Oryzias latipes: one gene and its partners. The protein of the gene in region 3 interacts with the protein of the main gene of each other region in a biochemical or structural test. Links are inferred from orthologs where the notes say so. Each region holds a gene or a part of one and is shown on either strand. Other genes may lie near its edges.

Region 1 (2,826 bases), on a different chromosome or scaffold from region 3:
CAGCAGAGCTCTTTCACTGTCAGCAAAACAAGGAAGTGACACTCTCTTCACTCTTCCTCCAAATAAAAGGCATTTTCAGAGATTTTGGCCGAATCCAAGTTGTTTTCCTACCCCTCTGGCTCCTCCCTATTGCTCCAATTTTAGGGCTATTTGGGACTTCAGTGGTGTCTAAAAGTGTTTTTTCTTAAGGAGGAGACGTAGTGACCCCGTGTTTGCTGTCCCTCCGCAGGTAGGGTGGTCTGCATCGCGCTGTGGCGCGAAGGAGAAAAGGGAAAGCGTTTCTTCCTGTGGGTGTGCTCGGAAGCACAGTGTAACCTTAAGTGTTAATTCAATTTACACTTAAATTTAAGTATTCCATTTTTATTTTTACACAACTTTTTAAATTTATAAAAGAGATGTTATGTATTTTACAAGCGCATTACCTACCGCCGACTATTGATGATGTCATCATTAAGTGGTAGTAATGTCGGAATTTAAAGACACTATTTTCCCATATCTCCACGCTTGGCAGGCTAAATGTTACGGTAGGGAGCAGCTGAAGGGGTAGGAAGGCCATTGGGGTTTGGCCTTGGTGTTCTGATCCATTTAATACGACAGAGTTTTAGGGCCACCAAAAAAAAAAAAAAAAAAAAAAAAAAAAAAGTAAAATTACGAGATTTTAAATCGTAGATTTACAAGAAAAAAACTCGTAATTTTACAAGATTAAAGTGGAGGTGAGCATACAGAGCAGCAAGTGAACGCCTCGCAGCAGCAGAGCAGACCGACTAAACGTAGTTGATCAGGTGAGCTGAATGTTTATTGATAACGTTCCAAATGTTTGGAAGCTCATTTGTTTGATTTATGATTTATTAACGTTTTATTTATTGATGGGGGGTTTGCAGGATCTCTGCAGCCGTTGATGAAGACATCGGTGTCCCTGCAGATGTCCACTTCAATCCTTCCGTCTGAGGAGCAGCATTTTTTGTCATTTTCAACGTTCTAATGCTAATACAACAGACTATTTTCATTCCTCTTTATTGTTTTAAGTTGAAACGGGACGTTTCATCTGGAGGAGGGGGCGTATGTTACACTGTTTACCTCTGCATTGGTGTTTGGATGACAGGTTCATGACGTAATGTGACAAATGAACTTCAGGGTTTGTGAATGAAAAGGAGAATAAAGGCTGCAGCGGTCCTCTACACCCAAACGTGTCTCTGAGCTCCTTATTTTACATATGAACCTCCGCTTTAGCGACACTGAACCCCAGAAAGACGGCTCCACTGACAATAATCTGATTTTGAGTCATCAAAAGGTTCAGAATCTCTTTTTTTTTTAAACCTTTCCAGAAATAAAGCTTCACAAAAGGTTCCACATATTTCATCTTCAAGTTAGGCTCCAATAAATGGAAAACTTTGGTGTTTTTTGCTCGGTAATCTATGACGTTTTTCTCGTAAATTTACGACTTTAAAGTCATAATTTGAAAAAAACATTTTTTTTGTAAACTGGCCCTAAATCTCCGTCGTAGTTTAAAGACCTGAAATGGAATGTGGAAAAGGCTTTAGTCAAACTCACCCGAGCAAAGTCAAAGGCGTATCTATAAATGAGCTTAAAACTAGTGCTGTCGTTCAGGACAGATCTCAAGTAGTCCAGGGAGTTCCTCAGCCTCTCTGTGGAGTCGCACCTGCAAACAAGAGTTTATGCAATCAGCTTACAGTCACAGAGAAAACACGGGAAATGGAGGTAAATCAGCTCCAGGAGGAGATCTGAAAGCCAATGAGGACAATGAAGAAATGCAGAAGTGACGTACTGAAGGGAGCTCATGCCTCTCAGCCACTCCTGCAGGGTGAAATATCCCATACTCTGGGCATCCAGCTTCCATGCAAGAACCAGCATCACCACCTGAGAAGAATCAGGAAACAGCCGATGCAGAGTTCAGATCAGATCACTGATGGCAGAATCATTTCCATGGTGAAGAGGAACCCGTTCACAACAGCCAACCAAGTGAACAACACTCTCCAGGAGGTAGGCGGATCAATATCCAAGTCTACCATCAAAAGAAGACTGCATGAAAGTAGATCCAGAGGGTACACTGCAAGATGCAAGCCACTCAGAAGCCTCAAGAATAGGAAGGCTAGATTGGACTTTGCTGAAGAGCACCTAAAAAAAGCCAGCACAGTTCTGGGAAAACATTCTTTGGACAGATGAAACCAAAATTAACCTCTACCAGAATGATGGCAAGAGAAAAGTATGGAGAAGACGTGGAGAAGCTCCTGATCCAAAGCACACTACATCATCAGTAAAACACGGTGGAGGCAGTGTGATGGTCTGGGCCTGCATGGCTGCTAGTAGCACTGGGACACTAGTGTTTATTGATGACGTGACACAGGACAGAAGCAGCCCAATGAATTCTGAGGTGTTCAGAGACAAACTGTCTGCGTAGATCCAGGTGAATGCAGCCAAACTGATTGGACGGCGTTTCATAATCCAGATGGACAACGACCCAAAACATACAGCCAAAGCAACTCAGGAGTTTATTAAAGCAAAGAAGTGGAATATTCTGGAATGGCCAAGTCAGTCACCTGATCTTAACCCAACTGAGCAGCATTTCACTTGTTGAAGACTAAACTTCAGACAGAAAGGCCCACAAACAAACAGCAACTGTTTGCCGCTGCAGTAAAGGCCTGGCAGAGCATTCAGAAGGAGAAAACCCAGCATCTGGTGATGTCCATGAGTTCAAGACTTCAGGCTGTCATTGCCAACAAAGGCTTTTCAACCAAATATTAGTAATGACCATTTGGTTTTCAGTTATTTCATTTGTCCAATTACTTATGAGCCCATGAAATGAAG
Region 2 (4,058 bases), on a different chromosome or scaffold from region 3:
AAAAGATGCTGCAACAACAACAACAACAAAAAAAGAAAGTATGACAGAAATACACAAAACATGCCTCATCTTTGTTATAACGACAAATTGTAAAAGATGTACTGTGTTGTTTCAAATCAATACAAAAACTGTTAGCAGGACTCACTAGCTTGTCCAGTTTTTCTGAAACTGCCCCGAGATCTGCCAGACTGCTTAAGTCGTTTCTAAAAATCACACAAACAGCAACTGTTAGCTGGAACTATAAAACTGCAAGCTTTATTGCAACTTAAAACTAGCAGAATGAAAAGAGGCTGCCTTAAAACGCTTTATTTGTGTTAAATTTGTGCTAAATCTAAAGGGTTCAATTATCTTTTGATCTATTGTCAAAGCGTTCATAGTGTTCTTTGAATTATGATTATGCAATTTTTAGCCAAAATCAATTAACCTCCGTTGTTTTCAAGTTCATAGTTTCTATGAGCGGCAGGAGTTCATTAGAAATTCCCTTCTTAGTTGTGGGCAGGACTGTAGGCACGGAGCAACCCCGCTCCCCCTATTGCTGAGAGCTTTCTGTTTACATTATATTGAGGTAGTTTACAGCCCTTCACACAAACAGCCCAACATTACAGGTGAAACAAAAAAGGCAAAAAATATTGAAGCTACCCAGACAGACAGTTTTGAGCCAGATCTCAGCTCGAACGAGAAAAACAAAGACGTCTGACGATCTGAACATCTATACGTGGATGCATCAGGATGGAGCTTTCTACGCCACAAAAGATATTTTCAAACAGTTTTTTTTTGTCTTCTCCTGATTCACAACTTCTTCTTTCACTGTCGGCTTCTCCCATCAGGGGTCGCCACAGCGAAACAACCCTCCCTGGAGGATGAATCGCATGGTTAACTTGGCAATGTTTTACGCCGGATGCCCTTCCTGACGCAACCCTCTCAATCCCACCAGGCTTGGGACCAGCACAGGAGCAGAGAAGGGAATAGGGAGCAGCCCGGAACTGAACCAAGGTTTCACGAACGACAACAATTTGACTAAAAATAAATACTCAGAAATGCAACTTTGAGCTTCACTTTCATAATAGGAGAATGAATGCCACAAGAGCATGTTAAAATCACCAAAACCCCAATTCTCATCAGGGTAAGTCTTTAAATATCAAACAGAGAAAAGCACTGAACCATACCATAACCCTAAAAATAAGACTCCAAGAGCTTTGTATCTTCAAAAAGAAAAAAAAAAAGCTAAACCATCAATTCACAAAGTACCATATAGTCATTCTGTTTTTAAAATCTGGTCTTTCAAATAGATTCAAAGATATTAAATAATGTAAAAAGCATGCTCTATAACGTAACTAAACAACATTTATTTTTAGATATCTGCCTTACTGCAGTTGAAAGTTAACATTAGTGTCAAATTTCACAAAATACCAGCAAAACAGAAAGAATATTGACAGTTACATTTTATAAAAGGATTGAGGAAAAGGTCAATCATACAGAGGCTTAAGTCAGCCGGTCCCTTAAAGAACAAAAACCTCCTATGTATTTACAGTATGTACACTCACAACACCACATGTGTATTTAAACCCCAGCCACAGGTCACAATGATCCGAAAACTCCTTTTTCATTTTGTTTTTGTTCAAGTAACATGTCATCACTTGACATGTAATCCAGATATAGAAGTCATACAAGGCTCCTATTGGGTTAAAAATAAGTCAAAGTCTTTTACTGTGACATCGGTTGGTTCAAATATTGACTTTACAGCTGTGATTACCAGTTTCATGTCTGCAGGTCATAATCGGAATACCTTATTGTCGTTACACGTTAGAACAAGCAAATCACAGCGTGACATTGGATTTTCACACCAATGTTTCTGCCATGATTTACTCCCTAAAAGCCTTTGGAGCAGGGTGACAGACTGGCCCCTCAAACTGGAACATGTGGACATTTGGATTCATGGCGTCCAGTACAACACATACACATACATGTACGCGCACACATATACGCACACACACGTCTCAACCAAATATGATCCAAACTGTTGAAGAATGAACTTCCTTTCGAATTTCATACGTTAACCGTTAAAACGCTAACCTTAAAAGAAACTGCGTCACTATTCATTTGATTTGGCATTCCCCCCCCCCCCCCCTAAATACAAGCACAGAGGTCACGCTGAAAGTACAAATTTTGCAATTTTTTTGTGTTCATAATAAAGACAATACAAAACTCCTAGTAGGGGCTGAAGACCGAAATGCTTAGATTCAATACTGCAGCGTACAGCACCCTACTGCTGTCGTAGCTTAGCTAACATTAGCTTCGCGTCTAACCTCAACACGGGGGAATGAAAAAAATCAAGTTTACCAGCAACAAGTGAGTTTTTTCGACTAAAAAGTCATTAAAAAACAACTACGAGACAGACAGACGTTTGTTGGTGTCCCCAACGTATGACAAATAATCAAATCTGGGTCTCAACAGACTTCTTTTGTTTGGTAGCTAAGGCTAACGGCTCCTCGGTGCTACTCTACACTATAGTCGGCTATTTTATTAACTGATGTGTCGTACATTTACACAATATAATCGTATGATTGATTAAATATAAAAAAGAGGTCTACGTTAAAAACCAATGAGTCATTAAATGAAATCATTGAACCAATTTTAAACACTTACGTTGCTCAGGTCTCGTATGACACAGATTCCACCTGCTTCTAATAGGTTTCTTCTTTAGCCGGTATCCCGGCGTTTCTGTGGGAGTGGGCAGTACCATTTTGTTGCAGGGGTGTACTGCGAAATAAATACTTACTGGTTTGAAATAAAACTAAATCAGTTCATCTTTATCAAATGACACGTGTAAAAACAAAATACACTAAGATAAGAGCAGAAAATATATTTTAAAAAATTATGTAAAAAAAGTAAGCGCTTTGAACAAAAACAAAAGACGTTCCCCTACAAGAAACAAGTTGGAACGTGCAATAAATCTTAAAGGGGCCCAGACCCTTTTCACTGATTTATTGGAGACCTGACATGACTGAAAAATTAAACTGATTTCAATTGGTTGAGTTTTTTTTTACTCAATTCTAAACCAGGGATTGTGTATGTATTTAGTATCAGAGATCCACTCATCTCTGAATATCAGAGTATCTGTTATTAATTTTTATTATCATGTCTGTCACTAGCAAGACTTAGAGAAAACTACTCACACATTTTATTTACACTTTTCATATAAAACAGTTTCTGTATTTAATAGGAAGCAGATTATTTTACCCTGAGACCATATCTGGGGGACACTGGGGACTACTACTATGTCCAATATGTTGTCAAGATTGTGTTTTGGAGGATTTGTGGTGCCCCACTGAGGTTTTACGTTGACGTATGAATGTACAAAACTGTTTTCTATTAATTCAGATGAGTAAATTTTAAATATGTAATCCTCCAACCTTCAGTGGACAGTAATGTCACTTCTTAACACCCCAAATGAAGAACTTACATGAAAAATTTCCTACTTCTGTGGACATCTCTAATTATATTTATGTTTATTTAACTATATTATACCAATTGTAGGCAAGCTACAGTCAGGTCCATAAATATTGGGACAGCGACACAATTCCTACATTTTTGGCTCTATACACCACCACAATGGATTTGAAATGCTGGGACTTGCTGTCCCAATGTTTATGGACCTGACTGTATTAATCACTAATATCAACATTTTTTATTTAAATAAAAACCTCATAAGGAAAATTCTTTAGTAGTGATCCGTTTTCTGTAATCTAGATATACTTTCAAAATGCAGTTACCCTAAAGAAAAGAAATCTTTCTGCAACTACTAAACCTGCCAGAAATCATCTGATAATGTCACTTTCTTTTAGAACAGGGTGATATTCAAACAACAATCATCAAACCTTCAGTAAATGTAGAATAAGGGCTGTAATGTGACATAGGAAACCACACACATTCCAAAAGTGACCTTTATGTGTTGGATCTGCGAATTTATGCAGACAAAAAGAGGGTAACTGACACACAGTATTAGGGCTATATGAACATCAAAATAGCTCAAACTGTGTGAAGACAGCCTTTGAGTT
Region 3 (4,139 bases):
AGGTTCTTTAACCGTTCTACGGTGGAGAACCTTCTGGTCCAGTTCCAGCTGGAGTCTGAATCAAAGCAGGCAGAAGACCCGCCTCCACCGGTTCCAGGTTCTCTACGTTGGGCTGATCCCACTGGGTCCACTGTTCCCTAGCAGAACCGCTCTTCCAGATTGCTCCTAGATTTAGCTACGGAATGGGGGGGCAGCTAAGGCGTCCCCTTATCCAAATACGCCCCGCCCACTGACAGGAGTTTCCCAGTTGGGAGGGGCCCAGTGGGTGACCCTCCTGCAGTATGATTGGCTGACCAGCAGACCCCCCCCCCTCCCCCAGATCATGTGACGTGTCTTACTAGAAAGAGATACTGCAGACCGTAGATGATGGAGTTTATCGTCAGAACCGGCTTCCAGTCCTCTCTGTGGAGCAGAAGAGCACACATGAACCTCCAGAACCCCCCCCCCCCCCCCTCGCTGTTCGGATCTCCGGTTCTGAAGAACTGACCTGAGGATGTTTAGACAGACGTTTCCTTCCAGGTCAATGTTGGGGTGGTACACCATCGTCTCACACTTCACTTTGGGGGGGTCGTGGGGGTAACCCTGTCCTACCTGAAACACAAACTCTTATGATGTCTGCGAGCAGAGAAGGGGCGGGGCCAAATGACGCGTTTGCTGACCTTAAAGCTGAAGACGAACTTCCCTCCTTTGTAGAAACCCTGAGACAGAAACACAGGTTAGCTGCAGGATGCTGCCCCCTCCATGCCCCCCACTCTGCCTCAAAACCCCAATGTTGTGACATGGCTGTGGGGGGGCCACAGCTGAAGCAGCCACTTACAGGGCAGCACTACAAAATATGGAATCTATGAAGCATGGTGGCGGAGGACTAATGGTATGGGCTCAGAGCCTCCACCCCCAGAGTAATCAGAGTACTCTGGTATGACAGGCAAGGCTCAAACCCATGACACGCCCAGCCCCCCTGGAGACCCGTCTACCAAAAACTGGTTTTGCCTGCGACTGGATCCGACCAGCACCGCAGTGCCACATGAGTGTTCCGCCTGACAGCCCGCACTCTGGGTTTAGCTCTCTGTCTGTCATCTGTCTGCAGTTTAAATAAAGTTTTACATGAGGTCCCTGACGTGAACACAAGCAGCAGCAGGACTTTGACCAATCATCTCAGGGGAGAAGAATCACGGAGTGGATTCATGAGGAACATGATGATGAACAATCATGAAGAATTCCTTCTTTTTGCTTCCACTTGGTTTGAAATTCCCTCCGGGAGTTCAACAGGATACCTGGCTTTTATTCTGAAAATCCAGGTTAACTGCTGCTCTTTGAAATGCTCCAGAATCCAGCAGGAACACGAGGAACCTCGGCTACATGATGTCCATCTGTGGTCACATGACCCCCCCCCCCCCCCCCCACACACACACAGCCGAGTGTAAACGTGAACGTCTGCACTGCTAGGAATCAAACACGCACCTCATCCGGCGAGATGATGAGCCTGAAGTTGAGTAGGTCGTCATCGTCGGGGAAGCTGATCTCGCACGTCTTTGGCAGGTTCAGCTCGTTGATGTCTGGAACACAAACACCTGCCGTTCAGGATCCTTCTCTTCATCACAGGACAGCACCTGGAGGGTGCACCTGGAGGGCGCACCTGGAGGGTGCACCTGGAGGGCGCACCTGGAGGGTGCACCTGGAGGGTGCACCTGGAGGGCGCACCTGGAGGGTGCACCTGGAGGGCGCACCTGGAGGGTGCACCTGCGCACCTGGAGGGTGCACCTGCGCACCTGGAGGGTGCACCTGCGCACCTGGAGGGTGCACCTGCGCACCTGGAGGATGCACCTGCGCACCTGGAGGGCGCACCTGGAGCCAGCCCCACCCTACCTGAAATAGCTTCTAGCTCTGGACATCATACTATGTTTGCATTTAGGCTCTGCTTAGACATTTCAGATTGGACAATTAAATCACCCGAGTCCCCCCCCCCCCCCCCCCCCCACTCCTCCTGTTTGGTTCTGGCCAACTTCACTCCAGATTTGCCCCCCTGTCCCCGGTGGAAGGCGTGTACCCCTTGTGCTATCCTAGGCACTTTAACATTGGGAGTGGGGTCATCTAGACCCACTAGACAGTGGGTCATCTAGACCCACTAGACAGAGCTCTGAACCTTTTTTCTTCAATGATTTGTGATCTTCACTGGTGTCCATGGATTACATGAAATCTTTCCACCTTTATCCACCTTTGTCATGGTAGGGAGAACACCTCAATGGAAGGAGGGGGGGGGGTCATCTGAGATAGCACAAGGGTTAACCCCCCCACAGCTGCTCATCACTTTGTTTTCGAGGTTAGCCGTGGCTAACAGCTAGCAGCTAGGTTAGCATGCTAGCCGTTAGCCGGAACTGTCGCCGCTGCCGGCCCGGACTTCCCTCCGTCCGGGGACCGGAGCTGCCTGAAAGCGCGCAGACAGCAGCAGGCCCTCCCGGAGGACCGGCGGCGGTCCCGGGCCGGTGCAGAGGAGGAGCCCACCTTTCTGTATTCGGAGCTGGGCCGCGCTGGCTTTCTTCCCCCCGGCTCCGGCTCTGTTTCCTCCAGCAGATTCCTCGTCTTTCTTCTGCTGCTTTAGAGAAAACAGCTTAATCATCTTCACCTTTTGATCAGGGGGGGGGGGCAAGCTAGCGAGCCTTCGGGTTGCGCGGTCCCTCCAGGTCGTCTGGGACTGTTCGGAGGTTCGGATCGGTCCTAACAGCACCGGAACGTGGACGAAGCCGGCGCGTCTGAACGGGTCTCTGAACGCGGCAGCTGCTAGCCTGCTAGCCTAGCCTGTTAGCGGGGGTGGGGGGTGGGGTGGGGGTGGGTGTCATACGGACCCCCCCCCCCCCCCTGCTGTGAAGAAGTTCACTGGAAAAAATGTAAACAGAGAAAAGTGTAATAAAGTTGAAAAACATTGAAATGTTTCTGTTCAGATTTGGATCGAGCTTTAATTTAAAACGATGGAATTTTTACAAATATAAATAAAAATAACAAAAACAGTAACAACAAAAACTTTGCATACTTTGGTATTAATTGTACTTTTGACATTTTGCGTTTATTACTTTAATAATAGTCATTTTATTCTCTGGGTAACATTTTTCTGTTTCAAAAATTACTTTTTTTTAATTGTATGTTTCCTTTTTTCTGGGATCCTGAAGTACTCATTTCTCTGTGCGCGTGCGTTTAGGGGGTGCGTGCTCGGAAATAGTAAATGGACAGTTTTATTGCTGTTAAATTCGTGCAACAGTGAATTGATATTTCCCATAATGCCCTTTTCCACCCACTTCCCTGTTGTGACGTCACCAACAGAGGTGGGGCGTACATGCTGTCGCTCCCCATTTTTATTTACTTCATTTATTTATTTATTTTGCTGTTGCGTCTCCCTCCCACTCTGAGGCGGCGTGTGCGGTCACCTGCGTGATGTAATCAGTGCGGAGGTTAAACGTGTCAGGGCGGCGCGCGGGCTCCGGATCACGCTTCTCACGCCAACACTAGGCGCGAGAACAATAGCCGCGCACAGCGCTCACGCCAGCGGCTCCTGGCTGCGGGGGTTTGTGCGGGAGCGAAAGGAGCGGCGCCTGCGTGATTGCGGGGAAGGACACGCGGAGAAGAAGGCGTAAGCTGCGGGTAGAGAGAGATAGATCCACGCTGCAGAGAGAGAGGCGGAGTGCACGCGCATCCATCCGAGGCCTGATCACCTGATCGATATCGATCAGTTTCAGATCGATGTTTGGGTCCCGCGTGCGTCTCTGAGGCGGGGAGGATGGGTCGCGCGTGAGGGCTCCGGGGCCGCCGCGGCAGAGAGGTGTGCGGGGGGGTGTGATAAGGAAGCGGCGGAGCTAACGGGGCTAACCGGAGCTAACGAGGCTACCGTCCATTCTGATGAGCCACAGACGAGCATGCGCGCCCCAACGAACAGGTGAGAGACCGTTCGCGTGCGTGCGTGCGTGCGTGTGTGTTTGAGGGAGAGGGAGGGGGGGTCCATCTGTCCCGGTCCCTCCGGGGCTTCTGCACCCGGTACCAGGGGGAGCAGCCGCGGGGGGGCAGACAGCCTGCTAACCTGCTAGCGCATTAGCATGCCTTTCCCTCGTGATCAGGTGAAGTGAGGGGTGGGGGCGGAGGGTCATCACAGG
Region 4 (4,084 bases), about 19 Mb from region 3:
GTAAGCTCACATAACTTTTTTTGTGTTTTTGTGTACTATCTTTGTGTTTCAGGTGGATGGAGAGTGTGAGATTTGAAGTTACAGCGACTTGCGGTAACCCTCCTGACCTCAGAGGTCAGCAAGTCAGAGACATTAATGTCTTCGCATCCTGCTCAGAAAACGCCTCCATTAAGCAGGAGGGCAGCAGGGAGCCGAAACTTTCTACAATAACCAAACCAGGTTCTTTGAAGCCCCCCAAAGTGAAAACTAGACCTGCGAAGTCGAAACTAAGCAAATCATCTAAGAAAAGGTTACAAAAAAAATCTGGGACTCCAAAAAAGACCATGAACAAGATGGCATTATAATAAAATGAATCATGTTTTGGTGGTTTCTTTACAAAGAGTTTTGTTTGGGAAAAAGTTCAACTTTTTTGTTTTTTTATTAAAACTGCTTCATACAACATGTTGTGTGCACTATCTTCATATTTTGTAGGCAAAGCTACTCTAAACAACAGAATACAACTTTTCAAAAAATATTAAAAGTCACAAAATATATAAGTTTATTGATCCTGTTGGCCTCCTGTCCGGCCTTCGCGGATTCGGATGGTTCAGGACGTCCAAAAATGAAATGTGCAGTTGGGGAAACGAAAAGACACAAGAGTTTGCATGAATTCTCAAACCTTTTGCAAAAACGGAGAGTTGGAAAAACATGACCTGTTAGGCTCTGTGGCTGTCCGCTCTCTCTGTCCTCAAGGCAAAAAGGCGTTTTTTATTATTAAGTAAGGGAAGATGAAAACATACAAAATACGTCAGTAGAATGGTGTGTTTCTGTCTAGTCTGCATTGCAGCTGTTATGGCTCCATAAACACTCCAGTACAGAAAGAAAGCAGAGACTGCAAGTCAAAAACAGGCCTACTGGTGACCTCGTCACATATTATCTGCTACTGAGGGCAGGAATCAAGCATATTTGTGCAGTACAATATACATGCAAAAATAGAATCCATTATAATAACAAGAAAATACAACATATAATAGAACCCCTGTAATGCATATTTAAAAGAACATAGAAAATATTATGGAACCCCTGTTCACCTCAACAATCGTCAAACATTAAAGTGTCTGTCAATTATTTTATTTTCAAATAATAAATAGCACGGAACACAAAAAGTAGGCCTGTAAGTTAACTTAGCATTAAATCATTTACGGCAGGATGCTAATAATTTTTAAAACCCGTTATATTCACCGTTTTGATGAATGAAGAAGTTCCTGTTTTTAAATTTTTCTTTTTAAAGAAATTGTTAAGCTGCAAAAATGTAGTTAACCTGTTTAGTAGATAGAATTCTAACAATATTCGAATTGAACGTGTGATCGGTGTCTTGATGGTACCTTAATAATTCTTGGCTGTGGCTTCAACATGGTTCCATGGTGTAATGGTTAGCACTCTGGACTCTGAATCCAGCGATCCGAGTTCAAATCTCGGTGGGACCTGAGATTTTTCTTCCACCCTCGTCTATGGAATCACTTACTATCTTCTTTAAAGTTGTGCTTATTTATTAATTAATTTATTTAATTTTTAAATGAAATTCATGTTTTGGTTGTTATTTTATTTCGTCTTTCCCGTCTCAGTCGGTTAAGTTAATGAACTTAACCGACTGAGACTGTTGCTACATCCGGACGGCTTTGTACAGACGACGTTTCAAGATGGCAGCAGCGATGGACGTTGACACACCGAGTGGTGCTAACAGTGGCTCAAGCAAGAAACGCTTCGAAGTTAAAAAGGTCTGATTTTATTTATTACCTGGTCAACTCTGGATTGGTCAAACACGTTTGCTATATAAAAGAAGAACAAAGGAGCCCTGTCTGTTTTAACCTCCTCTAGCTGGTTAACGACTCCTATTAGCATGTTCGATGTTGCCTAGCATAAAGTTAGCTTGCTTAACGAAAATGAATGTGCATTTCTAAATAATGTCATAACTTAGACCATGTTGTGATATTTACAAGATTACCTTCAGTCGAGCGTAACAGAAAAACAGCGTTTTTGAAATGGTAACGAGAGCTATAATCTTAATTCTTTTAATATTTGTTTTATTTTTGTGCTATTCGGATGCTAATTTAGCTTAGCATAAAGCTGAGGTTTCAAGATCTAGCAGCACATCATCTTTTTCTCTAATTTTAAATTTTTGTTCGTGTATTTCACATGTTAACCGATTTCTTTAGATTATTGCTATAAAGTTTTATATATATATATATATATATATATATATATATATATATATATATATATATATATATATATATATATATATATATTCCCTTAAAAGTGCTTATCTGATTTGTGCACCTGACAGGTGCAATTTGATATATTTATCTTTACTGTAAAAGGAAGCACTAAATCTTTCCTGTCAACTATTTTTAAAATGGGGGGAAAAAAAGTGTCATGATGACCAAAAACAAGAAAATAATTCAGGAACATGTTCTTTATATCAGCCATGTCTATCAAAAATGGCAGGAAGGAAATGCTAATATTTTTGATTTCCCTAAAATGTTTTAACATTCCGATCAGTGGACATGTTTAACAACTATATTTTGTTTTCTTTTTGTAATTCCAGTTGCTTATTTCTTTCGATCCTTTCCATTCAAAGTATTACAAGACATTATGCTAGATATGGTTAAAAAAAAGTCTGGAAACGTTGGAACGTTCTAAAACATTTAACTGGTGTATATAATCCTGGGTAACATAGATTAAACATGTGCTCATCTGATTGTTCTGTCCCCCTCAGTGGAATGCTGTGGCGCTGTGGGCCTGGGACATTGTTGTGGATAACTGCGCCATCTGTAGAAACCACATCATGGATCTCTGTGAGTTCACTTTAATGCATTCTCTGATAGCTTCCTGTCTTCATTTTGACTTCAAACTTTTAGCAGAATGAGTACTTCTAAGCTTCTACAAGCCCTTCTTCTCCCAACAAGTTTAGATTTCTGTGACACGTTGCATGTTTTCTTGATCAGGCATAGAATGTCAAGCCAACCAAGCATCTGCAACCTCAGAGGAATGCACAGTAGCCTGGGGGGTCTGCAATGTAAGTTTCCAATTAAATTGATGGAAGACTCAGATTATCTGTGTGTTTTCTGGAAGATGAAATGATGGATACCAATATGAGCATTTAGAGCTAAAGCCCTTAACATTTCTAATTTCTTTTTCACCTGTTTGTCTTCTTTTAGCATGCATTCCATTTCCATTGTATTTCCCGCTGGTTGAAAACCAGACAAGTGTGTCCCCTTGATAACAGAGAGTGGGAGTTTCAGAAGTAAGTTTGATTGATGTCATGTAGTTTTATTGATTACATTTCTGAAAGTACGATTTTCTTTAAAGTTGTTGCTTTAGACATTGCTAAGCTGTTTGTCATGTTTTCACAGATATGGACATTGAGTCGGCCTGCCGCTCACTTCCTGCAAGAATCAATTTCACTGCTTCTTCAATCCCAGCGGCTTGTATTATTTTCCACACTTTTGTTTTAGTATGTTGTAATTAAATGGTGAGCTTGTAAGGTAAAAAGTTTGAAATAATAAATGGAAAAAAACTGGGAATTAACCTTTCATTTGTGTTTTTGTTTTTTTAATACAGTTGACTTTAAATCACATTGATGTTGACAGCGCAGTAACCCTCTTTAAGGACACGAATCTTCAGTGTAAATTAAATCACCACCAAAATGTTTGACTTCTCTTTACCATAGTTTATTGTGGAAGCTGTTAGAAAAATGAGTTTCATCTATTTGTTAAATTCCACACATGACAGAATACTTCCTAAAGACCCACTCTGATGAAAATCTTGTTTTCTGGTGTTTTCAACGTGCTCTAGTGCCTTTTTCTGATGAAGGGCATAAAAGAAAACTAAGCTCAAATTTACGTTCCAAAAATAACCTGCGATTAAAAAAAAAAAAAAGATTCCAATGAAAAATATCCACACAGACTGAAACGTAAACTGCGATAGTCAATGAGCGGTAATTCTATATTCAGATGAAAAAAAGAGCTTTGTGATGAGATTCATGTGGTGGGCAACAAGCGCCCCGCTTTACAACGGGGAGGGGATGGGGCGGGTTTGCTCC
Region 5 (3,515 bases), on a different chromosome or scaffold from region 3:
TTTTAAAACATACAATCCAACTTATTCACAACTGTTTTAATATAAATTGAGCCATGATTTCCGACAGGCGAAGGGAAATGCCAACAATAACAACAAAGAAAGGAAACTTAAAAAAAAAAAGAACCTTCTTGCTGTTCAAAGTCTGCTTTAAAAGGGACATCAAGCAAAAATATTAGAATTATAAGGATTGCCGATGTGTGTGTGACTTTTTTTTTTTAACTATAGGTAAAATTCATCTCAAAACTCAGTTTATTCTTCACAAATAAAGGATCAAAACTGACCAATTAGGTTTGAATTTCTCCACCTGTATTGTTTTCACAGAAACGCTGCAGACTTTCCCTTGAAGACTGAACAAATATCTCTAAAACAGGTTTGCCGTTTTTTTTTTTTGACATGGCTGTTCTGAGAAAAGAGATGAGGTTCTAGAAAGAACCACCTCAAAGTTCAATAGAGCAGAACAGGTATGCACTACTGTTCCGTTTAGCTGGCGGCATCTTTATTGAAAAAAATGAATTAGGGGCCCGGTAAGATGAAACGCTTCCTCACAATAGCAGAGGACCTGAAATATATCTGGTATAAACAAATATATTCATTCTAAATCAAGCGATACTGCATCCACTTACACTCTTACAGAAGGATCTTGAGAATAAATAAGCTAGGTTTCTTCTTCAGTATAGACATTTTTTCCATCTTGCAAGCACTTAATGAAAGATTATAATAAAAATACAAAACAACTGAGCAGAGTTACAAAAAAATAAAAATAAAGGAATAACTGCAGCTGTAGAAAAATAAAAAACTCAAAAAAATCTGCAGCAACAGTTTGGTTCTCCTGAGTGGTGACTGTTTGCTTCCTCTTCTCATAAATGTGACAGCAGTTGAACAGTGATCAGAAATTTAATTTTAATCGACCTAGAAAAAGAGTACATTCCAGATTTTCCAGGAAAATAAAAAGTTACCAAAAATGAATCGCTTTTTATAAAATGAAGTTTGCTTTACTTTATTTCTTAACTGGAAGGAAGTTTGTTAGCCAATAAAATAATAATAAATCCCAACAGCAGTTTGAGTGACAGCTCTATCAGCAACTTTTGGTGCCACAGTAGCTTTAAGGAACCTTACCCTCAGTGCTTGCTATTAATTTGTGCCTTTCGTAGCTTAATTTTTTAGAATAAAGTTTTTTCCCTTCAAAATTACCTAATAAAGATATTTGGAATGGTTCCCAACAGTGACCGGCGCAGGTAACTGTGGTCCTTGACAGAAGAACGGACCTGTGCATCACATTGGAGGAACAATAACCTTCAAAAAATGGAATGGTTGCTAAATTAGGAGAAATAAACTGAAGACTACTGGCTTTGATTTGCTGCTGGCTTTCTTTTAAATACCAGCTTTTAATGCTGTGTTGCAACATCTATAATTTGTCAGTAAAGTAATGAGCCTTCAGCAGCTGGCAGGGAAACAGCAAAGGAAGAAGAGGACGCCACTGCTGATGCTAAAGTGTGCACATTCATCTGCACGCAATTTAAACACAACATCAACCCAAAACGTGATGTATCAAAGCTTCTCAGAATTATAAAATGCACACATAGCAGTGAAAACTACAAAACAGTTTAAGAGTATGTTTTAAATCAATCATCAAATACATTTGCAACCATGATGAAATGTACTGGCCTATTGGAGATCATTGTAGACTGAATACATTGCGTGATTTTTAAAGAATTTTTATGATGGTTCAGAAATCAAATATTTAAGTTTGTACAAATAAGCATTCTGTCCCTCACAGACCGGTTACTTTTTCTATAAGAAGCTCTTGTATCTCCCACTCATTGCCTGTATTAATGTCACCTGTCTGAACTGGTTATCTGTATAAAAGACACCAGTTCACAGCCATAAACAATTACACTGGAAAGGCCACAAGAGCTGTCTAAAGCCACCAGGGGCACAACTGTAGACTTGAACAAGACTGGGATGAACCAGTCTACAATAAACAAGCAGCTTGATGAGACGAGCTCAATTGTTGGTGCAATTATTCGAAAATAGAAGATAAACAAGATAATTGACAATCACCGTCCACCTAGAGCTTCCTGCAAAATCGTACCTATTTGGGTACAAATGAGTTTGAGAATGGTGAAGAAACGATTCTTGTGAACTGGTCAATGAGAGAGCTGGGACCACACTAACACACTACATCAGCCATACTGCACTACATCAGCCACACTGCACTGCATGATCCACAGGAGGATTGGGAGAAGATTGTGTGGTCAGAAAAAAAATATATATATTTATATAGTTCCATGGTATACATGTTGCTCTCCTTGTTTGGAAGAAAAAGAATGCTTAGTTGCATCTCAAGAACATCGCATCATACATTGCTCATGTGTCCACCCACATGCTTCACAGTGGGTGGACACATGAGCAATGTATGGTGAGATTTTGATCAAAAATCCAAATTCCATCAGTGAGGGCACTGATGGAATTTACAGAAAACTCATTTCAGGGTATTGGAGTGACCTAACTAGCCTCTAGACTCTTTGTGTCCAACAGAGAATCTGTGGAAAAGTTGAAAGTCTGTGTTGCTCAGCGACAGCACCAAAACATCACAGCTCTTGAGAAGATCTGCATGGAAGAATGGAACAAAAAGCAGCTACCGTCCAAGTCTGGTTAAAGACATCCAGGGGACATTTAAACTGACATTGCCAACCAAGATTTAAGCACTGAAATGAACTTTTGTAGTCAGAATACTTATTATACGAACTAATTGTTTAAAACTCATACAATGAATCCCTGGATTCTTCTTTTTAACATTATGTCTCTCACCTATGATGAACATTACAGACCCTGTCTTTTTAGGTGGACAAGTCACAGGTGACTGAAAAATACTATTTGTCTCATTGTGTTTACTTGTCTAGAGCTGTACAGTCACAACTCCTGTGAACAAAAATCACTGATGGTGGGAGAGCAGCCATACAAGGGAACTAGCCAGACCACCAGGAGCAAAGTAGGGTCCCATGTCTTGCCCAAGGACACTGACATTTATAGGCAGGTAAAGCAGGAACTAAACCCACAATCTTACAAACCAATCAGAGGTCACCAGCTCAACCTCATGGCACAGAGGTTGAGCTGCTGATCCAAAAAAAGAAAAGTTTCTATGATAGAGAAAAAAAACAACAACACATAAATCATTAGCTTTTCTAACTCATTCCTTACCTTGTAAACTTGCACATAGTGGCTGCTTGAAACCTCCAGGCAAGAACCAGAACACGAAACTCAGCTGGGTCCACACACAAATCATTGCAAAATCTCTCCATGCCTTCTTCCAATATGGCATCTTCCTGTTCATCCTTGTAGCAACAGAAGAGCTCCTCGATACGCCACATGGACAATCCATCTCCATTCACACGATCATCTTTGAGGGACTCCCCCATCAGTGATGGGAGGATGGGTGTCTCCACTGTAACATCAGGGGTTTTGGTGCCATTTGAAAGCTCACTGGTGGCTTTGCTACATGGAGCACTCAGCTC

Evidence for each region.
Region 1: the proteins of ube2m (region 3) and dcun1d4 form a complex in vitro, tested with the Homo sapiens proteins (3 studies listed by BioGRID). The link is inferred for Oryzias latipes from reciprocal best matches to the Homo sapiens genes UBE2M and DCUN1D4.
Region 2: the proteins of ube2m (region 3) and DCN1-like protein 5 form a complex in vitro, tested with the Homo sapiens proteins (3 studies listed by BioGRID). The link is inferred for Oryzias latipes from reciprocal best matches to the Homo sapiens genes UBE2M and DCUN1D5.
Region 4: the proteins of ube2m (region 3) and rbx1 form a complex in vitro, tested with the Homo sapiens proteins (15 studies listed by BioGRID and IntAct, with this or other methods). The link is inferred for Oryzias latipes from reciprocal best matches to the Homo sapiens genes UBE2M and RBX1.
Region 5: the proteins of ube2m (region 3) and dcun1d3 form a complex in vitro, tested with the Homo sapiens proteins (4 studies listed by BioGRID and IntAct). The link is inferred for Oryzias latipes from reciprocal best matches to the Homo sapiens genes UBE2M and DCUN1D3.

The regions. Positions count from the first base shown.
Region 1 is NC_019862.2:1,336,465-1,339,290, reverse strand, and holds part of dcun1d4 (DCN1-like protein 4), read right to left. Parts: intron 1,879-2,826; coding exon 1,787-1,878; intron 1,661-1,786; coding exon 1,552-1,660; intron 1-1,551. UniProt on the Homo sapiens protein: Contributes to the neddylation of all cullins by transferring NEDD8 from N-terminally acetylated NEDD8-conjugating E2s enzyme to different cullin C-terminal domain-RBX complexes which are necessary for the activation of cullin-RING E3 ubiquitin ligases (CRLs).
Region 2 is NC_019871.2:4,931,758-4,935,815, reverse strand, and holds the start of DCN1-like protein 5, read right to left. Parts: upstream 2,804-4,058; 5' UTR 2,647-2,803; intron 204-2,646; exon of another isoform or gene 146-203; intron 9-145; 5' UTR 1-8. UniProt on the Homo sapiens protein: Contributes to the neddylation of all cullins by transferring NEDD8 from N-terminally acetylated NEDD8-conjugating E2s enzyme to different cullin C-terminal domain-RBX complexes which is necessary for the activation of cullin-RING E3 ubiquitin ligases (CRLs).
Region 3 is NC_019866.2:195,053-199,191, reverse strand, and holds the start of ube2m (NEDD8-conjugating enzyme Ubc12), read right to left. Parts: upstream 2,807-4,139; 5' UTR 2,618-2,806; coding exon 2,503-2,617; intron 1,557-2,502; coding exon 1,462-1,556; intron 699-1,461; coding exon 660-698; intron 592-659; coding exon 488-591; intron 403-487; coding exon 339-402; intron 1-338.
Region 4 is NC_019866.2:19,409,113-19,413,196, reverse strand, and holds rbx1 (E3 ubiquitin-protein ligase RBX1), read left to right. Parts: upstream 1-1,443; 5' UTR 1,444-1,679; coding exon 1,680-1,757; intron 1,758-2,758; coding exon 2,759-2,837; intron 2,838-2,987; coding exon 2,988-3,058; intron 3,059-3,200; coding exon 3,201-3,286; intron 3,287-3,395; coding exon 3,396-3,408; 3' UTR 3,409-3,573; downstream 3,574-4,084. Other genes in the region: chondroadherin-like protein, read left to right, coding at 53-344. UniProt on the Homo sapiens protein: E3 ubiquitin ligase component of multiple cullin-RING-based E3 ubiquitin-protein ligase (CRLs) complexes which mediate the ubiquitination and subsequent proteasomal degradation of target proteins, including proteins involved in cell cycle progression, signal transduction, transcription and transcription-coupled nucleotide excision repair.
Region 5 is NC_019877.2:9,527,791-9,531,305, forward strand, and holds part of dcun1d3 (DCN1-like protein 3), read right to left. Parts: coding exon 3,202-3,515; intron 1-3,201. UniProt on the Homo sapiens protein: Contributes to the neddylation of all cullins by transferring NEDD8 from N-terminally acetylated NEDD8-conjugating E2s enzyme to different cullin C-terminal domain-RBX complexes and may play a role in the cell cycle progression by regulating the SCF ubiquitin E3 ligase complex, after UV damage.